Linked DNA regions of Nothobranchius furzeri. The protein of the gene in region 3 purifies or fractionates together with the protein of the main gene of each other region. This does not show direct contact. Links are inferred from orthologs where the notes say so. Each region holds a gene or a part of one and is shown on either strand. Other genes may lie near its edges.

Region 1 (6,950 bases), on a different chromosome or scaffold from region 3:
ATATCTAATGTTGTATGTGGTGCAGATGCTCTCAGGGATGGCTTGTAGCTATTTTAATGATGAATATGAGAGACCATGACACATTCCAGCAGGTTGTTACATTGGTATCAATTTCTATACAAAAATATCATCGGTAGAACATCGTCATATCTTCGCTCATTACATATCACTTCCAGCAACCGGTGCAATTTATGATCCAATAGCTTAATCTCTATGGTTATTTCTAAAGCTCGCACCTCCTTTGGTTGCTCCTCATTCCAGTTTGCTGCTTCCAACGACTGGAGTGAGCTGCAAAAGTCACTAAAGCTCACTACCTACATTCCTTTATCTACCTTCAATAATCCATTGCAATCAATAGTTTCTGATCAATGTGCTTCTGAGTAGTTAAAGATTAAGTAAGGTTAACTAAATAAATAAAGCATTAGAAAAGGTGTGTTTGTTACTGAGATTTGCACAAACACTGATATTAGAAGCAGTTTCTAAACTCTACATGATGACTATCACACCTGCAACACGAAGCTCCACCAGTACCTGAGTGGTTAAAAACATCAAGGAAGCATTTAAAAGTTTCATTTTTATGAGTCAAGCAACATCTGAGTTTTAAAGAGAGACTTAAGCAAACTTTCCTGGCATCTACACAAAACACAATTGCATAAAGTTACAGACTTTGCACAAACGTTACCATAAACGGATCAAAAGTTAACTAAACAATCTAATAAAATGTGTAGGAACTCACTTTTTTCACAGATGACCCCTCCATAGCAGGATGGTGGAGGTCCACTGCTTCTGTCCACTATCCGTGTTTCTGTTTTATTCCATTGATGAAATCAGGTGTCCTCACTCATCATACTGTTGTTGACGGGGAACCTTGCAGACTCGGTGTACTGTAGCAGCAGTCATCAGTGGTTGTAGACAGTGAAATCTCATTATGCCATTCAAGATTACCTCACAACCCCCACAGGACACAGGATGCTAGATTAGTTAATTACCACAGACGCAAATACCACTTAAAACCAACGAAGCATGTAGATGACTGCTCTCCCAACAAACTCAGTCACCAACAAAAAAAGTGTTTGTGTGAATTATCTATTTGAGTACCGGTATTCCCTAAAAAATAAAGTTCTTTAAACTAGGATTTTTTCCCAAAAGGATGTCACTGTATATTTGTGAAAAATAAAAACTCCAACTTTATCACTGTTATTTTGAAATGCTCTCTCTCTCTCTCTCTCTCTCTCTCTCTCTCTCTCTCTCTCTCTCTCTCTCTCTCTCTCTCTCTCTCTCTCTCTCTCTCTCTCTCTCTCTCTCTCTCTCTATATATGTGTATACATACATATATATATGTATATATATATATATATATATATATATATATATATATATATATATATATATATATATATATATATATATATATAATTTATTTATGTGGTTTACTGGATTTAAATCAATCTGTGTTAGATTAAGATCACAGTTGCTCAGATTATTTACAGGCAATCATTTCTCAAGTTATTTTGACCAGCAATTGTGGGTTTATTTGTTAGTAACTTTTTATCAGATGTAAAGTATTCTGTGTTACGAAAAGTGCTCTACAAGTAATCTTTGATTTACTGAATGACAGAAAAATTACAAGAACAAATAAAAACATAATGAAACAAAATCACACACATTGATTTCTCACTGTTGAATTGTTTATATTTTTTAATACTAAAGAATAGAAAAGTGTCTCGTTTACAAGGAACAATTTAGTATTTTAATTTTGATTAGCCTTGCAAAGCTTTAATCCAAAACATTTAATCAATTAAACAAAACAAAACAACAACAAAAAAGAAAAATTGTTGGACTTTTCCCACAACAAACCACTAGATGGCGACAGTCTCCAAGCTGGCCATGTCCCATGATGCAACGCGTGCGCTTCCTTTTATATAGAGCCGGAAGTGTATAGCCATCATAGCATGAGTGGCTGGTTGTGTGCGTGTTGTTAGTTAGCGAGCGTCTGTGTGAGTGAATGTGGAGTATGCATGTTGTATGTGTGTATATTTTTAAAAACCTACACAGTGATCTTATTTGATCTGGTCTGAGTTTGGCTCTGCTCTGACTAGAAATGATAAAAAAAGCGCTCGCGAGCTTCTATGGGGGCGATGAGCAGCCGGCGACAAACACCTAATGGGGCCTCCACATTTCGTGCTGTGGTCAGAAGTGATGAATTGATCAGATATACTAGTTCTGGGTCGGCTTGAGGTTCGCCTTAAAGCTTTACCTGTAAGAACAATGAGTAAAGAGGCGATTCTGATCTCACCACAGCCGAAAAGAAGCCACGAGACCCGCATGTTAGGAAATGGTGAAACAAAAGTGGCTTTCATTTGTATAGATAAAGATGGATGGATGGATGATCTTTATTGACAGACTCTTATGTCCAGATTAAAAAATAAATAAATAAAACAAAACATTAAAAACAAATAAGATAAAAGCATAAACATCTAAATCTATTTAAAAAAACTTACTATAAAGATGTTCCACACAAGAGTAACCACACAAACACTTCAGCCAGTGTTTCCTTATACTGGACAAATAGCGACAAATGCTCACAGCAGGATCAGTGATTGCTAAAATTATACTGTTGGCAGAGCTATCCAGTCGTTCTCTAAAAGTGAACATTAGTTTTCTTAAAAGAGCTTTAAAGTACAAATGCCTGCTGTTACAAACATCTGACTGGCACTGCCCCCTCTGGGTATTTTGAGTATGATTCTTAAGGCATCATTGAATGCAACATGCAGCTTATTCATGCTGCTTTGATTGTAAGATCAAAATTACTGCCCAACAAAACCAAAAATACTGCTCAACCACAGTTGGGCTGTATAAAGCGGAGTACAATATGCTTTAAATAAAGCCACCTTAACTGGTGAACAAAAACTTACGTGCTATAGTATTATTGGCCTGTGCATACAGCTTACAGCACCATGGCATGTAGTCATGCAAATGCTAAAATTGGCCATTAGAGACAAATTCGGACTTTTTTATGAGCAAAAACTACACAAGCATAAAAAAAATTACACAAGCATATCCGTGTTCCTGTTTTACTTTCATACATGTTCTCGTGATAGTTAGCGTTAACATTTTTATGTACATGTGACCTCTTAAAAGCTCAGCAAAACGCGCGAGAATAAGCAACGTGATCGTAGCCGAACCGTAGCCGCGAAGAGAATTTTGTTTAGTCGCTATGGGCGAATCAAGTAAAAGACCGAGATTAAGTCAAATTAGCAGAAACACGCAGACTTCTGCGAGCAGAGCAAGCGTGTTCAGAGGTGGACACTCGGATATTGCCGGAGGCGTTGGTACATTTGTTGAGGGTTCCATCCTTCGCATCACGATGAGAAACTTCCTGTAAGTTGTAGTTCCTTAACTGTCAAGAGTTCTACCGGTAGCCAGCAAACATCACATTGTGCTCTTAGATAACATACAAGCTTATAATAGCACCATTTGTTGTTTTATAAAGTTTTAAACCTTTTGATCACGTAGTTTGCGCACAGAAGTGAACAGCTAGCATACAATTAGTGGTTTAACGGCTCAATTTTAGCTGTTTAAATATAGTGATACAATAAATACAATGTTTTGTGTAAAATTAGCTATATAAGATAACATTTTGCGCAGTGTGACATAACCGAAAACTCCTAAATGTGTTTTCTGTCCACTGACAGAACGTATGACTTCTCTGTGGTCCATCCGGGATCCAATCTGAACATGATTGTTGGAGCTAACGGGACTGGGAAGTCCAGCATTGTATGTGCCATCTGCCTGGGTCTGGCTGGAAAGACAGCAATTCTGGGCAGAGGAGACAAGGTACACAAACCACCTGCACTGGTCTACTTGATTTATTCTGAAAAAGACCATTTAAGAAAGCGATGGAGTCAAGATTTTTATTGGTTTGTTAAAATCACACTGGTAATAAAGACATATAAACATTTGCAGAAACTATTTAATTTCTGTTGTTTATGCACCACAGAGTCATGATTGCTACAAGCTTTTAATGGTTAAATAAATTGATTTAGATTATTTATGCAGGTTGGGCTCTATGTCAAACGTGGCTGCAAGAAAGGCTCTATTGAGATTGAACTGTAAGTTACTTTACATAGATTTTCCTCTATTACACTTTTTGTATTTTTAATCTAAATTCCAGATTGATGCTCTTGCATAACAAGTACCAAGCTAATGGTTGACCAGCCAGATAACATTAGACATGCTTGCATGAAATGATGTCTGTTTTTGCCTCTACAGGTACAAAAATGGAGGTAATGTGATAATTAACAGAGAGATCCATGTAGAGAACAATCAGTCACTTTGGATGCTGAATGGAAGACACTGCAGCCTGAAACAAGTAGAAGAAGAGGTCAGGACTCTGCAAATTCAAGTCAGCAACCTCTGCCAGTTCCTCCCTCAGGTAGGTTTTCTAGATGTGATCTAGCTCAGTGGCCTAGTGGCAGAGTGTCTGTTCTGGGACTGGGAGATCAGGGATTGGATTCCCGGTCGGGTCATACCAAAAACTTTAAAACTGGGACCCAGTACATCCCTGCTTGACACTCAGCTTTAAGAGGTTGGATTGGGGGTTAAACCACCAAATAGTTTCCAAGCGCAGCCACCGCTGCTGCTCACCACTCCCCTCCATGGGGATAGGTCAAATGTGCAGATGAATTTCACCAGTGTGTAATGATGACTATGTGACTTTAACTTTAGTGCTTCACTTGTGCAAAGTAAAACGTGTCAGAAATCTTCATTTTCTAACTTCTTCTCTGTTCTGTCACAGGAAAAAGTTGGAGAGTTTGCAAAAATGTCCCAAATTGAGTTGCTTGAGGCAACCGAGAAGTCGGTTGGACCACCAGAAATGTACGAGTACCACTGTGAGCTTAAAAACTTCCGCAGCAAAGAACGAGAACTGGAGGTGAAACTTTATTTTATTTGTGTAACAGTTTTTTTTTGGGAATAACTGTTTAGATAATCTAATTCCCGTTGAGATCTCAGCTATGTCAGCTGGATTGTTGTTACATGATAATTACATGTTTGCTGTTGTGAAAGATGCAACTCATCGTTTCGCTGCGGTTTTGGCGGGATGTTTGTCTGTAGAACGTCTTGAAGGAGAAGACGAGTTTCCTGGAAAAGGCCAAGCAGAGGAATGAGAGGAACAAGCTCGATGTCAACCGCTACTATGAAAAAAAGCGGCATCTTGACGTCATCGAGCTGCTGGAGAAGAAGAAACCGTGGGTGGTGAGTTATTCACATAAAGCACTCTGCACAAACTGTGGAAACAAATCCAGTTTGTAATCTGATTACCCTCTTTGGCTTTGATATCAGGAGTATGAAACCACTCGTAAGGAGCTGGAGGGTGTGAAGAAGGAGCGAGAAGAAGCCAAAAAGCAGCTTTTGACCCTGAAGCAAGCCCAGGCGCCCATGCTGAAGAAAATCCAGCAGATTGATGAAAAGCTGAAGCCCATTGAGGCAGAAATGAAAGCTAAGGTGACCGAAGGTGGCTTGCTGTCTAAATCTGTTACATGAACATTAAGTTAAACTAACCATGTGTGTTTCAGACTGCTGCTATCAAAGAAGCTTCTCAGAAGTGCAAGCAGAAACAAGATCAGCTGGATCGAAAACATAAAGAGGTGGTGGTGGTGGTGGGGTGGGGGGGGGGGGGGGTGTTGCTCAAAGAAGAGGAAAAAAAAAGTAACAATTAAATGTTTGAAATAACGTCATCCTTGTGGCTCATCTCTCCTCTGCAGATTGATGACATTAAACAGGCACTGAGGATGAAGCAGATTGAAGAGGAAGACCACCAGAAAAGAATCGTCAACACTAGACGGACCATCGAAGACCTGAAGGTGGAGCTGGACAAGCTCGGAGACCAACTAGACACCACCCTGCTGATTTCTGCTATTAGTGTGGAACTTAAGGAGATCCAGGAGAGGACAGCCAGGATTGAAGCGGAAAAGGCCGACCTGCGCAGGGAGAGGGACAACGTCATCGCAGAGTCCAGAAGTGAGTTTAAAACTAAACAGACTTTACATTTAATGATTAAAATAACAGACGGCATTGCTAGGATTTTATTATTTTAATGCCAGGCTTGCAGAAGAAGCTCAATGACATGAACAACCTGATGAACATGAAAGAAGAGAAGCTGCGGACACGCCACAGGGACACACACACCGCTCTCCTTTGGCTCAGAGAGAACAGACAGCTGTTCAGAGGAAACATTCATGAGCCCATGATGCTGGTGGTGAGTTCCATCACTGGAAATGTGTATTACTAGAAGTTTTAGTTGCTGTAAAATGCCGAAGTTTGATGTTTCAACCCACAAGTTTAGTCATAAATGTATTAAATGAAAAATAAAATCTCGTTTTCCTATAAGTAGATGTTAAAACGTAATGGTTACTTGGCCTTCGTTATCACAGATCAACGTAAAGGATCATCAGAATGCCAAGTATGTGGAGAACCACATCTCCTTCCACGACCTGCGAGCGTTTGTCTTCCAGAGGAAAGACGACATGGAGAAATTCTTGGTGGAGGTCAGGGCGGTTTGCATTCAGAACACTGCTCAGCTGAGAGACAGCATTTCTGAGTGTGAACATGTAACTGTTCATAGTAAGAATTTAAAATATTTTCTTCAGGTTCGTGACAAGATGAATCTGAAAGTCAACGCCATTTCTGCTCCGGAGGTGTCCTGTTCTGGACGTCCACCGTCAAGAAACATCGAGTCCATGAGGTGAGAGAGAGTGAAAGTGTGTTAATGATCAGCCAAGGTGGGGGCTGCTCCAGTGTGTTTTCCTCTCCATCTGCCACCCTTTTTATTTATCAGATACGGTTTTTTATTTTATCGTCTGCAGGCGTTTTGGGTTCTTCACCTACCTCCGTGAGATGTTCAATGCCCCCGATGAGGTGATGAGTTACCTGTGTTCCCAGTACAAAGT
Region 2 (6,950 bases), on a different chromosome or scaffold from region 3:
TGTGTGTGTGTGTGTGTGTGTGTGTGTGTGTGAGTCTGTGTGTGTGTGTGTGTGTGTGTGTGTGTGTGCGTGTGCTTGCATATGTCTGTTAATGTTTTTAACCTGTTATGGGAATCTGGGGTCATTTTGTAAAGCAATTTGAGTAGCACTTTGTTTGAAAAGCGCTTTATAAATAAATTTGATTGATTGATTGATGTTTCTCCCGGTGTTGATGTCCGTGTGCAGAAATTCACAACATGCTGCTGGTCATTATTTTCTTTGCAATATCATTTTTTTTAAATATCTTGCATGAAACTGTTGATTCATTGAGCTGAAACAAGCCTGGATTGCTGTAACAAATGCAGACGTGATTAACTGAGACTACATCAAAATAAAACATGTGTATACATTAGAATTGTAACAGTTCAACTATCTACACGGAGTGTATGTTCAATAAACCAATGGCAATGATCCATCCATCCATTAATTTTCGTATGCTTATCTGGAGTCGGGTTGTGGGAGCAGCAGCCTAAACAGAGGGGCCCAGACTTCCCTCTCCTCAGCACTTGGCTGAGACCATGGTCTGGAGTCAGAAAAGGGTAGAATGACTTCTCCAGGTCAAGCACGAAGTATCTCGGGGTCTTGTTCATGAGTGAGGGAAAGATGGAGAGCAACATCGGCAGGCAGATTGGTGCTGCATCTGCAGTGATGCTGGTGTTGTACTGGTCTGTCATGCAGAGAGAGCTGAGCTGGAAGGCGTAGCTCTTTATTTATCAGTCGATCTACAATCCTACCCTCACCTATGGTCATAAGCTTTGGGTAGCGACCGAAAGAACGAGATTACGGATAAAAGCAGCCAAAATGAGTTTTCTCTACAGGGTGGCTGCATGGGCTCTCCCTTAGAGATAGGGAGAGAAGCTCGGTCATCCGGGAGGGGCTCGAAGTAGATCAGCTGCTCCTCCACAAGAAGAGGAGCCAGCTGAGGTGGCTCAGGCATCTGATTAAGATGCTTCCTGGACACCTCCCTGGTGAGGTATTCTGGGCACGTCCAAGTGGGAGGAAAACTAAGGATGACCCAAGACACGCTGAAGGGACTATGTTTCTCGGGTGGCCAGGGAATGATGGGATTCCCCCGAAAGAGCTGGCCCAAGTGGCTGGAGAGAGGGAAGCGCTGGCATTGATATAAAATGCAAAAATAACTGTTTAATGCATTTTTATTTTGAGATGCATTTGTTTCAGGAACTAGCAGAATGCCACACAAGAGGAGAGATTAACACGGTAGGATTTGGAGTCTTACTTCCTGATATTTGGTCATCTTGGCTCGGATTGGATAACAGCAAAGCGACTCTACCACTGACTCCATTTGCTCTGTGACATGGATGTGTTATCTCCACAAACAGCACAAGCCTGAATAAATTCTGCTGAGCGGTGGAGTTGCTAATGCACTAGTCGAGACATTTTCTGCTGTTTGCTGGATGCTAAAACAAAAACAGCCTAGATGGGTCAAGATGGGTGAGTCCATGAATGTTAAGTGACAGTGTGAAGTAGATCTGTCAGGCTTTTTAAATCCTAGAATTTCACCATCTAATTTCTAAAGCACCAAAGAGAGGGATATAAAAAACAAAGGAGAGACTGATCACATGTGCTGGCTCCATGGTTAGAGGTAGAGTCTGTTGTGGTGGTTGCAGAGAGGAAGATTCTAAAAAAGCAGCTGGCATTTATTAATGAGGCTAGCCATCCTCTATAACATAGTTATGGTCTTTTTCCCAGATCTATCTATCCATTTATTCATCCATCCATCCACCCACCCCAAGAATGCCAATGAGAAAGTTGATTGCTTATTTCAACTTGATTTTCAGGGACCCTGACAAACGTGATAAGCCAACACAAAATTATCGGAAAAGTATTAAAAGGTTGCAAATTTAAAAAAGAGTCTAAGTAAAACAGCATTTAATTAGTAGTATAAAATGAATTTACAAGTGAATATGAAAAACACTTTTTATTAATACAAGTTGATTAATGAACACAAATGTGGCCAGCACTCTGATTTAAAGAGCCCAAGAAATTACTCATGTAATTCTAACATGTCTGCTTCATTCACAAACTGTAGCAAATTTCTGATACATCTGATACTTAAACATGACGCGGTGTGTGTGGAAGAACAGTCAAAACAGAACCTAATGCATTGTTTTACCTTTCACGAGTTCCCTGCTAATCCATTCCGTGTTAATCCATTTAAACACCCAGAGAAAATTAGGCTATCGTCAGTTCCAGCATGTCTTTGTTGATCTTCATCAGTAGTTTGTAAAATAAAATGATAAAATGAACATATTCATCACTGTGACGCGTAAATCTCGTTGTCATTAAATGGGACTCTTCACTGGGAAACAAACAACCGCGTTCTGTCAGCTTTAGTCGTTTCTGGGGGAAAAAAATAATTAATTTTACGATTAGGCTGAGTAAATATACCCGTTATACAGCCAGAGTACAGTGTTTTTGTTTGTTCCGTAGCTAGAAAGCGTCCGTAACAACCACCCGGAAGTAGTTGCACTAGTTCCGGTTGTTGGATTGTACCAGAGCAAAGAAAATGGGGAGAAATGATTCCGAATGGACTAAATTAAACATTAATTTAATCAATACGAAAGTAAATATTTTTAAAAATCTTTGCCTTAGTATGTTTACGTGCAATTTTTTAAATATTAGACTACTTATTTACCTAAAAGCTACAAAACGCAGGTTGATAGTCGATCAAATCACCTTTTTTCATATTAGATAGTAGAATCCTGGAGCTGTTTTCATACGGACAGCTTTAAACGGAAATCTGCATTTTATTTACAATAACAGGACATGCCTTAGTGTGCATTCGTTGGTAAAGTTGAGCATATATATTAAGTCAAAAGCGGAGATATGAAACCAAACACCGATGCAAGCTTTCTTTTTCTTGTATTGATGACATTCGCTGACGTGTTTTTTTGGCGCGCCTGGATGTAAATGGGAGTCGTCTTCGGCATAAAAGGTACCTGATCACTAAATCAGTGGGATTTTTGCTTCTAAACGGGAAATATTCGAACTAAAAAGCACACAAAGATATGGAAGTAGCATCAACACGTTATGACACAGCTAAGCAGTTGCTAAGTGGAGTATTTTCTGTTTACAAATTGAGATCTTTAGTATTTGTTGAGATACACAACAGGAAAGTATTAGGATAACACGTGTTTCTAAGCACGAATCAGTTGTGGCCACATATAACTAAATAGTGCACTGCTATGTAATATTTATTTTGAAAGTATCTCAGCAACTACAGTGCACCTTACCAGTCATTTGATAATCAAAATAGTTCATGTTTATTGAAGTGCAAGGCAAATCACAATGTGTGAGTTCCAGTACATGGCCCAGTCACACCTACCTACTGCAGCAACAGCTTGTTGACAGTAACGGGGGGGGGGGTATCTGTGCTGCCAGCTGGGTTTGCTTGTTATCATTAGAAAAAAAAATCTATATAAAATCAACCAAACGGTTAATTTCTCCTGTATTGTAATAGTTTGTGGCATATGGGGTGATTATATTACATATCTTCTGAATAAATATGATCTTATAAATGAAAGTTGGAATCCTCAATGTATTATCAAACCAAGAGTTCAGCTCAGTCAACTGATAATAAAAGACAGTCTTAAGTCATCCTGTCAAACAAGAATTACTGCATCACAATTTTAAGGAAGTTAATAGCCTACTTAATCTGTAACTTGATCTTTTTCACTTTAACCTAATTCTATCCTCTGTTTTAGCGCACCTTTGTGATGGAGGTCTGCAGACACATTTTTCAGATCTCTGGGATCAAAAATCGTGAAAAGAAGAGAATTTTGCTCAAAGGGATCAACCAGCTAGGTGGGAAATACATCGGTGGTTCGGTGAGTCGAGATTACTGTAGATTTTTGGGGGAAATGTCAGATGCACTGGAAACAAAGTGACGAATTTTGCAAAAGTTGATTTTTATACACCAATAGCTTCTTAGTTTCTGTCACTCGAGACAGTTTGCAATCTGTTGGTTAAGAAACTAAATTAAAATGTGACTCTTGCTCTTAATCAGTGTTTTTGCATAAAAAAACAACAACATGGTGGCTGTGTATCTACTGAAGTCTCTTAACAGTTCCCATGACACACCTTTCTGCAGAAAATGATGAATCTATAGCTTTAATTTAATAACATCAATCAATCAAAGCTTTATTTATATAGCGCCTTCCGCAACCCTGTCAGGTAGCCCAAGGCGCTGAACATAGTACATGACAAAGTTAAATATGGTGAATAAATCGAAAATAAAAGCAGTTCAAATTACAAAAAAAGGTAAAACATTCTAGTAGAAGACAAATGGGTAAAACAAGGGATAGAGTGAACCAATGAAAACAGGGAAATAAAATCAACATTAAAGATGGCCAAATTCAAACACGTTCAGGAAACGCCAAGCGGAGGAGGTGGGGTTTTAGGCGACTCTTAAAGACTGGCAGAGATGGGGACAGCCTAACTGAGGGTGGCAACTGGTTCCAGAGTGACGGTGCTAGGACTGAGAATGCCCGGTCCCCGCGAGTATGACACCTCGAACGAGGGACAGTGAGCAGGCCTTGGTCAGAGGAGCGCAGAGCGCGTGATGGGGAATATCTGTTCAGGAGTGTGGCTAGATAGGGGGGGAGCATTACTCTGGAAGAAATTGTAGACAAAGACGAGGAGTTTGAAGTGTGAACGATAACAAACCGGAAGCCAGTGCAGGGAGGCCAGAACCGGACTGATGTGGTCCCGTTTCCTGGTCCCAGTCAGGAACCTGGCTGCGCTGTTCTGCACAACTTGTAGGCAACGCAGTGATGTCTGACACAACCCTGCATAGAGAGAGTTGCAGTAATCAAGCCTAGAAATTACAAATGCATGCAGTACCCGCTCCAGGTGGGCTCTTGACAGCATTGGCTTGATTTTTGCAAGGCGTCTCAGGTGAAAGAAACTGGACCGGATCACAGAGTTGATGTGAGCATCAAATTTAAGTCCAGCATCAACTTTCACCCCCAAACTGGTGACAACTGGTTTTGAGTAGGGAGAAAGAGGGCCAAGATCAACATAACGACCCACATTCCTGCTGTTGGGGTGAAAAACAATGAGCTCTGTCCTTCCCTCATTCAGATGCAGATAGTTGGCCATTAGCAAAGACTTCACCTTGTTAAGACAGGACAAAAAGACTGGATGGAGTGTCCTTTCTCCTGGCCCAATGGAGAGTAAATCTGGCAATCGTCAGCATTGAGATGTAATGATAGGCCATGTTTACGAATGATTGACCCCAGAGGAAGCAGATAAATGGTAAACAAAAGAGGACCAAGGATTGATCCCTGCGGGACCCCCCAGCGGAGCCCCTCCCAAGAAGAAAAAAACATCACCCAGTTTAACACAGAATGTCCTGTTGTGGAGATACGATCTAAACCAATCCAGAGCTGACCCTTTGATCCCAACCCATCGTTCCAAGCAATCGAGTAGAATTGCGTGGTCAACTGTGTCGAAGGCTGCCGTCAGGTCTAACAACAGAAGCACCACAGATGTACCCTGATCTAGTGATAGATATATATCATTTAAAACCCTCAGTAGAGCTGACTCTGTGCTATGGCCAGACCTGAACCCTGATTGGAAAACCTCAAACAGATCTGAGTCAGCTAAATGTGAGACCAGCTGCTGATAAACGACTTTCTCAAGCAGACATATTTGGTGCTCAGTATTTGTTTTCCTGATAGGCGCTGAAGGCGTTACCACTGGCTAATTATTTTTCCGTTTGCAGTTCACGTGAGGTTCAAAGGCCTTATGGTACACTACAAAAGTGTTAACTGGATGTATTATAATTTAAAGAAATAATAATGTTGGAATTTATTCTCACAGAGCTTCAATAGCTGGTTGGATATCTGCCTTTTTCTAAAGTTTCAAATGTTGTTCACTATGAAATATGCTGTATTTAATATACACAGTCTATTGAACATTATCCATAAAAAACTTTTCATACAGTTTGGTGTTGTGCAAAGTGCTTAACAGCAAATTAGATTTAACAGGCAGGTAAAACAACAGCAGTGACTGAAAGAGGAACGTAGATACAGTTATAGACACCAAAACAGCTTCTCCACATCGAGGGTAGCCCAGTTATGATGGCTCGAGCATCTGGTTAGGGGAATGTCTCCTGGACGCCTCCCTGGTGAGTTTTTTTAGGCACATCCAACTAGGAGGAGACCTAAAGGATAGGGATGTCTGATACTGAAATCGGAAATAGGTCTGATATCAGCCCAAAATACCCGTGTTGGATTATATCGGACTGCATCAAAAATCTTTGACAATCAATTCGTTCTGCTTTAAATTTCATTCCAGCAATTCTATCCAGCATGCAAAGCCCACATGATCAGAAGTACTAAGTGCATGCTAGCGACGTAGCAAGGAACAAGAGCAATGTCGGCCATGTGGCAGTATTTGTCAGTGTGGGTCAGTGCAACACTTGTCATGCTCAAGTTTCCTGTGGTGGGACAGAACCGGGGAAGAGTAATACGTCATTGCACATTTCAAGCAGCATCATAAAACACTGTATGAGGATTTTCGCATCGGTTTTTCATACTTACTGCTGCTGGCTTTTGTTCTCTGAGTAATGGCACCTGATCAAGCCTTTCATACACTCCACTCTACAAAATAGGGAAAAGTATGTATGATTTGTGCTGATATTGTATTGGACTGATATCGGTATCGGTCAATGTTGAAGGCTGCAATATCAGTATCGTTTTGGAAGTAAAAATGTTGTATCAAGACATCCCTACTAAAGGAAGACCCAGGACATGCAGGAGGGACTATTGGGCCATTCCCATCTGTACCGGGTCGGTCCGGGCCGGGTAGCGTAGGTTGTTTACATATCTTGGTGGCCTGGTATTTTTCCGGGCCAACCAAGGCTGATACTCAGCCCTCTTCTCGAG
Region 3 (6,850 bases):
CGTTAAAGTCATTAGAGCACAAAAAAATGCACTTACAAAGATGACCAGTTGAACACTTTATTAAAGCACACGAACAAAGAAAAAGTGTGTGTGTGTGTGTGTGTGTGTGTGTGTGTGTGTGTGTGTGTGTGTGTGTGTGTGTGTGTGTGTGTGTGTGTGTGTGTGTGTGTGTGTGAGAGAGAGAGAGAGAGAGAGAGAGAGAGAGAGAGAGAGAAAGAGAGAGAAACACAGAGGGGAGTGAGCTAACAGCTGCAGGCTGAGCACACAACTGTTGAGTGCTCCTTGCACACAGCCTGTCCACATGCATGGCAAAAGCGTGCATGCACGCTCCTCTTCCCTCTGCAAAGGTGGCATCTTTTCTTTGTCTGCTCCTGGGCTGGACCTGGCTCCACTTGCTGCTGCACCTCCAACAGAGCTGCAGCGCTGCTGGACCGCGGCAAGCGAGTGCGCCTTGCCTGGGCTGGTCTCACCATGGAGGTCCCAAGCTCCTGCAAGAACAGCCTTCGACGGATGCTCCTCTTCTGTTGGTTCCAGGCCGGTTCCACAGACAGCCACAGGACCAGGGCATTGTAGGCGCTCACATCTAACATGTTGCAGAAGAGCGACATGGGCCAACGTCTGGTCTTGCGGCGGCAGCTGTATGTTGCAACGAGCTGGAATAAAAATAAATGAATAAATAAATTACATATGCAATTAGGTTGGTGAATTATAATAAAACAAAATAAAATAAATAAATTACCTTGTCCAAGTTGTCAACTGCCCCTTTGCAGCGGTTGTAATCGATGATTACGGTCGGCTTCTGCTGCGGTCCCTCCTGGATCTGAACCTGATGGTGTTTGGTGCTGAGGAGCAGAACGTTCCGCCGGCGCTTTGGAATGTAGCTCACCGCGGTGGCGGTGGAGGTGAAGCCGAACAGGGAGGACAGAACCGCTCTGCTTTTCATCTGGAGCAGCTGTGGGGGCAACTCTGGCTTGTTGCGCCTAACTGTTCCCACAAGACAGATTTTTTTTTAGCAGCTCCTCTCCAAGAACCAGCGAGGTGAAAAAATTGTCCGTGGTGACAGTGCGGCCGCTCAGACCCTCCGTGAGTTCCAGCACCACCCGCTTCCCTTGCCCCCTTTCTGCCGGGGCGTCTCGAGTCGTCTTGCCCAGATAGGGAATAATCCCCCAGGCATAAGAAGTGGCCACATCGCACACCACCTACAGCTTGATGCCATATTTTGCCGGTTTTGAGGGCATGTACTGCTTGAAGTTGCAGCGACCTCTGAATCCGACGAGCTGTTCATCAACGCAGACATCTTCACCGGGGTTGTAGGCGAGAGGGAGCCGGGCCGCCCAGAGGTCCCACACTTCCCGCAGGGGAGCGAGCTTGTCCTGCTGCACCAACCGGCGGGCTGCCCTGGTCAAGCGGTCATCAAAGCGCAATGTTGCAGTCAGCATGTGGAACCTTCCCAAACTCATCGTGGCTCTGAATATCGGCCTCCCCGTTTCCTCCCCCCAGAGGCTGGCAGATGATTCCCCACGGGAACGGTGCACACCAGCGAGGATGAGCAACCCAAACAATGCCCGGAGTTCCACGCGGTCAACGTCTGTCCAATCGTCATATTTTCTTCTTCCCTCTATATTGGTGTATTTTATTATTACATCTAGGATTGTTGTAGTCAAAAAAAAATCGAAGCTGTCCTCAATAGTTTGGATGTAGCTGACAGCGAGGCGGGTGATCCCACAATGGCGGACGTCTGGAGCCCGAAAGGGGATCCTGGTGTCGGGTGTCGGGGACCAGGCGATCCCGCTCTTTGATTGCCACAAAGGATGGTCCCATCTCTCCTCTGCAGCAACCACCTCCTCATCTGAACCTTCTTCCATTTCTTCCCCTGAATCAGGCCCTGGGGTAAAGGCCTGATCTTCAGCCTCTTCATCCGAACAAGAGCTGTCATCCGTGGATGAGGATGAGGCTGACTCTCCCTCTTCCTCAATCTGCTGAAACACCTCCAGGGCTTCATTCACATTGAATCTTCTTCTCATGGTTGCGGTTCAAAGAAATGAATCCTGATCTGAGTCTCATATATGTACTTTTAGTCAATTGGTGCACCTGTGTAAGCTGCCCCTACTGAATGTAAACAAAATTCGATTCTGCAGGAATTTGTTTTGAAAAACAAATGTATGCCTTTGAAGTTTTTCAGCCTTCATCTTAGCTTTCATCCATGCAAATGCTTTGTACTTATTGAAATAACATTTTGCAAAAGTAAAATTGTGAATGAGTATCTGAAATTTAGCAGAAAATCCTTTGATTTTTGATATATAGCATGCCTTTGATGAATATTCATGAAGTCAACAGAGTGTGAGAACCTGTGCCCCCCCCCCCCCCCCCCTACACTCCCATGGCCCACACCTGCTCAACCACTCCAGATAATGATCACAGATCTGTCCTTTGAAGATCTGTAAAGTGCTTTGATACCTACATACACGCATGCCTGAACAATCACACACAAAGGAACACATGTCAAAATGCTATTTTGCAGAATAAGCTAATTTTGTACATTCAGTCAGGCTTATTTTTTGAAAGAACACTGAAAAAGCACAATTACCAAAAATTCAGAACACACACATGCAAACTATTGTATGGCATCTCTAAATAACACACAAACCATTTTTTTGCAAAATATGTATTATAATGGGCGGTCAGAGGTAAAGAAATACAGCTAAATCATTCAGTTTAAATGCTGGGTCAGCCATTGCCCTGCTATATATGGAGAAAGTATGCCATGTAGTGAAAAACAGTAAAAACTGCTTCTTACATTTGTGATGAGACTGTAAACACGGGCACAATCATAATTTTTTAAAATTATGCCAATATTTATGCTAATTAAAAATATATGATTTACATGAAAGTCAATGGCACAAAAAAATGCTTCAATGTGCTTAACTGTACAAAATGATTTCCACGTTTTAATAAAGTAGGTTGAATATTTTTTCAAACTTTTTTTTGTAATTCCTTCCAAAATACACATCCTCCATAAAAATTAGATAAATTGCATTAACATAGCCAAAGTTATTCACAAAAATACACGTGTCAGCACAAAAAAATGCTCTAATGTGAGGTAAGGGTTAAATATGTTTACGATTTTCATTTATGTTAAGTTACTTGAAAAACGAGAAAAACTGATTTTTGTAATTGTTTCTCTCAGGGCTTTTATCATCTCTGGTGTGAGTTTAAAATATAAGTGTGTTAGCACTGTGTTGATTATCCCTAATATGAATAAATGTTTAATTATTCAATGTTTCTCTTTTTTAACACGCAATTGAAGTTATGCTCTTCATGGATAAATCGTGATAAAATCGAAATCGTGATAAAATATTGGAAAAATCGTGATATTCTATTTTTGCCATATCGCCCAGCCCTACACGAGATTCTTAAATCCCCCGAGATGTTCCGACACCTTCCTCATCGAGAGATCACAACCACCATGAGGAATCACACCGTTGCACTTCTCGAAAGAAACTGGTGGTAAACAAAGCTGTTCGGTCACATGAACTGATGTAAATCCTATATAACATGGCAACGTTGAATTTTATTTTGAAAATAACCGGGGATTTTACACTGAAACTGTGTGGTTTCCTGTCTCGCACTATGTGAACTGCGGAAATTGACGTGTCCCAGAAGCGGCTCGCGGAAAAAAATAGAACTTGGTCTTATCTTTAGCGGCGCTGCGCGGCATGCCGCGTCACGGCTGGTATGAAACTCTCCATAGACTATAATGGGATTCTATTTGAAGCGGTGCCACTTCGCTGCCGTTCCGTTGATGCTTGCAGCGTGAAAGTGGCTTTAGACTGGTAGTGACAGGAGGAGCTGAGCAGCTGCAGTGATGCTGTGTGGGAAGTTCTGCATCAACTAGAGCCAAAAACAATGTGACTCTTGCTACAGCAGGGTTTCCCCCAGTGCTTTATAAGCCTGGCCACCCGCCAGGCTAAGCGTCATACCCCGACCCCCTCCCCGACCCCACCGTGTCTGCTGACACGAACGGTGCAACGAAACTAGAGCCCTCCATCAGCTGATACTGGTGAGAAACAGCAGGGGAACGTGTGCAGCCTCCCACTCCCACTCCCATTTTCTGGGGGAAACCCTGTACAGAGTATATTTTGATACTGACTAATGTCTGAATCTCTACTTTTACTTTTAAAAACCCAGCGAACAACATAATACAACAGTGTGCTGAGCCTACCTTGAAAAGGAAACAGGAAACCTGAGTGGGACAGGGTGAGTTACAGTTGTACGATTCCTGAAACAGCCCAATGTTTAAATGAAGTCTCAGCTGAGCAGGGCTGGACCTGGCAGGAAGTGGAAAAACAAAAGTCAACACATAACGGCACCTTTTGGTTAGCTAGTTCAGCAGTCAGCTGTGATATTTCCTGTGTGTAATCGTAGCTTACCAAAGAAGTGTCTTCTGTGCCGTGCCCTGAGGATTCACCATGCACTGCCTCAACTGCAGTGTTTGCTCATTGAAGATTTGGCCAAATTTCTCCAAGTTGAACACCATTTCTCCTGGAGGGACTTCTCTGATTGCAGCGGACATCAGTGAGTAGCGCTGAAGGAACTCCCTGAGAAACAAACCAAATAAATTAACAAAGCAGGCACAAAAAACTTCTAATGTTTAGGTAGCAGTGTTAAGTGTAAACATGATCTTAGCTTTCCTTACTGTTGCTCACTGGAGACATCCTGGTTCTCTTCAGACTCCTCAAATTCAGCCAATTTCAACAGACCTCCGTTGCAGGCAGTTAGAAGCTCCGCCTCGATCTCTTTGGCTCTGATGAATTTAGATCAAAAACCAATTTAGTAGCAAGGGCTACAGTTTAGAACCACTGTTCAGTTTCCTCAAATGTACCTTTTGTTGTCATCAAATTCCTTCAACATCTGGTCAAGACTGTTCTTGTAGACCACTGCTTTAGTGGAGGATGGCTGCACCTGCCAAGATAACAATAAAGGTAACAACTACGAATCCAGAACAGCTCTGACTTTTTAACAAAGAGGATTCACGTGGAACGTACGGTTTTTGACTGGGAGCTGCGAAGCCCGGGTGTGCTCGGCTCGGAGAAGGCTTCTTTCTCCGGTGTATCTGGAACCTTGGTAACGCGCTCCATAATCTCCTGGAAGGAAACCAGCTCTTCCTCTTCGCTGCCATCTGAGCTCTGGGTTTCTTTGATATCATATGTAATGCTTAAGTCCAGGTCTAGCTCTACATCAGCGGGATCCTCTTCATTCACCTCCTTTTTACTCCTTTCGCTCGCCTGTCTCTCCAGTGACAGAGACCTTCTGCGAGGAGGTGACGGTGTTAGTTTAGTGGCTGGTGTGTCCAAAGCACGCAAACTCGGACTGGCCGAGGCTGATGGTGATTGTTTGTGATGAATTTTAACACTCTCCCTTACAGCCTCAACTGTAAGTTGTCTTTCTGAACACGGGCCAGGGCTGTTTTTAGGACACATGAAAGGTTTAAATTTTTCTAGTTTAATGCGCTTTAAACTCACAGTTGGCAACGAGAACAGCAGGTTATGCTCTGAGGAGGACACTGCCTGTGGAAGTCCTGTTACTTTGGAATGGGAAGTCATGTGACCAGAGGATGTAGTTACTGGAGGCACACAGCCAGCAGGAGGGCTGGAACATGTTCCTAAGGTTTGTGAGTTAATGTTTTTCTCAACCATCTTGGTCTTTGCAGTCTTACACAAGGAGTTGACCACGTAAACCATAGGATCAGGTGTGAAAAGCTCATTTATGTCACCAGGGACAGCAGGTCCCCGTACACGACTTGGTTTACTACGCTCTTCTGATGACGATCTGGGAGTGCTACCGTGAGATTTTCTGATTTCTCCAGTGTGATGACCCTTGGTAGAACTAGAGTAGTGGCTGGCTGGCCCAACTTGACGTGATCCACCACTATCCTCCTGAGGACATTTGGAAGAACTCGACTTTCCACTTTTATGTTTTTTCTCGTTTTCCTTTTTGGCCATTTCTTGACTGGGCCTTGAAGATGCACACAGCTTGGGTAGTTTCCCCTGAGCGGTGGTCGAATCCTCTTGCCCAGCTGATGGAGATTTCTTTGGACAATGTTTAGGTGACGGTGTGAGGTGTGCCTGACTGGGTTTCAGTTTGGATAATAACTTTGAGCTTGTTGACTGTCCACAAGTCGGCTTAGAAACCAGAAGACCACCCATCTTTCTGGGTGATGATAATTCCAGGACCGACGGATTATTTAATGACAGCTTAAAAAACTTTGACGAGATTGGTGGTTTGCCAAGAGTTAGCTTGACTGTTGGATTTCTGCCCGAGTTTGCATCCTGAAGACATGGTTTCTTAGCATCCTCAGAACAGGGCTCAAACTCTTTGTGTCTCTTCTGAGAAGACCGGTTCAGATCCATGGCTGAAGACAGAAAAAGGTAGAAAATATTCAGTTTTCACAAACAGTCCAGCAAAGAACTTATAACCACAACTTAATTCTGACAACTAATTTAAAATCACATTGCTAAATATTTTTAGCCCATATATGTGAATATATAGTCTGGCCTTGGTCCATTGATGGCTCAGATAATTTAACATTCATTAAATATTTCAGATACAAGCCACTTACAGGCCAAAAGTAAGTCAATCAAGGTGGACTTATCAGGATTCTTAAAATTAGGTCTTGTGGGTTGGTTGACCAGATTTATGGAGTCACAGAAGCTTTTGAATTAATATGAAACTGTATTTTGCCAGTCCCAGTTGACATCACCAGCCAATACGAGTAGGGTTAGGCATCGAGCATCGACTGGAACCGGTTCCAAATGTTAGTTTATCCCGGAATGGTTCAAAGTTTTTTCTT

Evidence for each region.
Region 1: the proteins of slf2 (region 3) and smc5 purify together in Homo sapiens (affinity purification with mass spectrometry; 3 studies listed by BioGRID and IntAct, with this or other methods). This does not show direct contact. The link is inferred for Nothobranchius furzeri from reciprocal best matches to the Homo sapiens genes SLF2 and SMC5.
Region 2: the proteins of slf2 (region 3) and slf1 purify together in Homo sapiens (co-immunoprecipitation; 3 studies listed by BioGRID and IntAct, with this or other methods). This does not show direct contact. The link is inferred for Nothobranchius furzeri from reciprocal best matches to the Homo sapiens genes SLF2 and SLF1.

Annotation. Positions count from the first base shown.
Region 1 is NC_091755.1:27,650,435-27,657,384, forward strand, and holds the start of smc5 (structural maintenance of chromosomes protein 5), read left to right. Parts: upstream 1-3,015; 5' UTR 3,016-3,217; coding exon 3,218-3,381; intron 3,382-3,695; coding exon 3,696-3,837; intron 3,838-4,059; coding exon 4,060-4,112; intron 4,113-4,272; coding exon 4,273-4,435; intron 4,436-4,798; coding exon 4,799-4,933; intron 4,934-5,115; coding exon 5,116-5,256; intron 5,257-5,343; coding exon 5,344-5,505; intron 5,506-5,576; coding exon 5,577-5,648; intron 5,649-5,765; coding exon 5,766-6,021; intron 6,022-6,104; coding exon 6,105-6,259; intron 6,260-6,434; coding exon 6,435-6,548; intron 6,549-6,650; coding exon 6,651-6,745; intron 6,746-6,866; coding exon 6,867-6,950. UniProt on the Homo sapiens protein: Core component of the SMC5-SMC6 complex, a complex involved in repair of DNA double-strand breaks by homologous recombination.
Region 2 is NC_091757.1:41,838,735-41,845,684, reverse strand, and holds the start of slf1 (SMC5-SMC6 complex localization factor protein 1), read left to right. Parts: upstream 1-2,590; 5' UTR 2,591-2,995; intron 2,996-3,764; 5' UTR 3,765-3,776; coding exon 3,777-3,887; intron 3,888-6,950. UniProt on the Homo sapiens protein: Plays a role in the DNA damage response (DDR) pathway by regulating postreplication repair of UV-damaged DNA and genomic stability maintenance.
Region 3 is NC_091752.1:20,504,226-20,511,075, forward strand, and holds part of slf2 (SMC5-SMC6 complex localization factor protein 2), read right to left. Parts: intron 6,413-6,850; coding exon 5,046-6,412; intron 4,963-5,045; coding exon 4,883-4,962; intron 4,805-4,882; coding exon 4,697-4,804; intron 4,599-4,696; coding exon 4,431-4,598; intron 4,329-4,430; coding exon 4,223-4,328; intron 1,075-4,222; exon of another isoform or gene 944-1,074; coding exon of another isoform or gene 740-943; intron 654-739; coding exon of another isoform or gene 243-653; exon of another isoform or gene 117-242; intron 1-116. Other genes in the region: piggyBac transposable element-derived protein 4-like, read right to left, coding at 243-653, 740-943. UniProt on the Homo sapiens protein: Plays a role in the DNA damage response (DDR) pathway by regulating postreplication repair of UV-damaged DNA and genomic stability maintenance.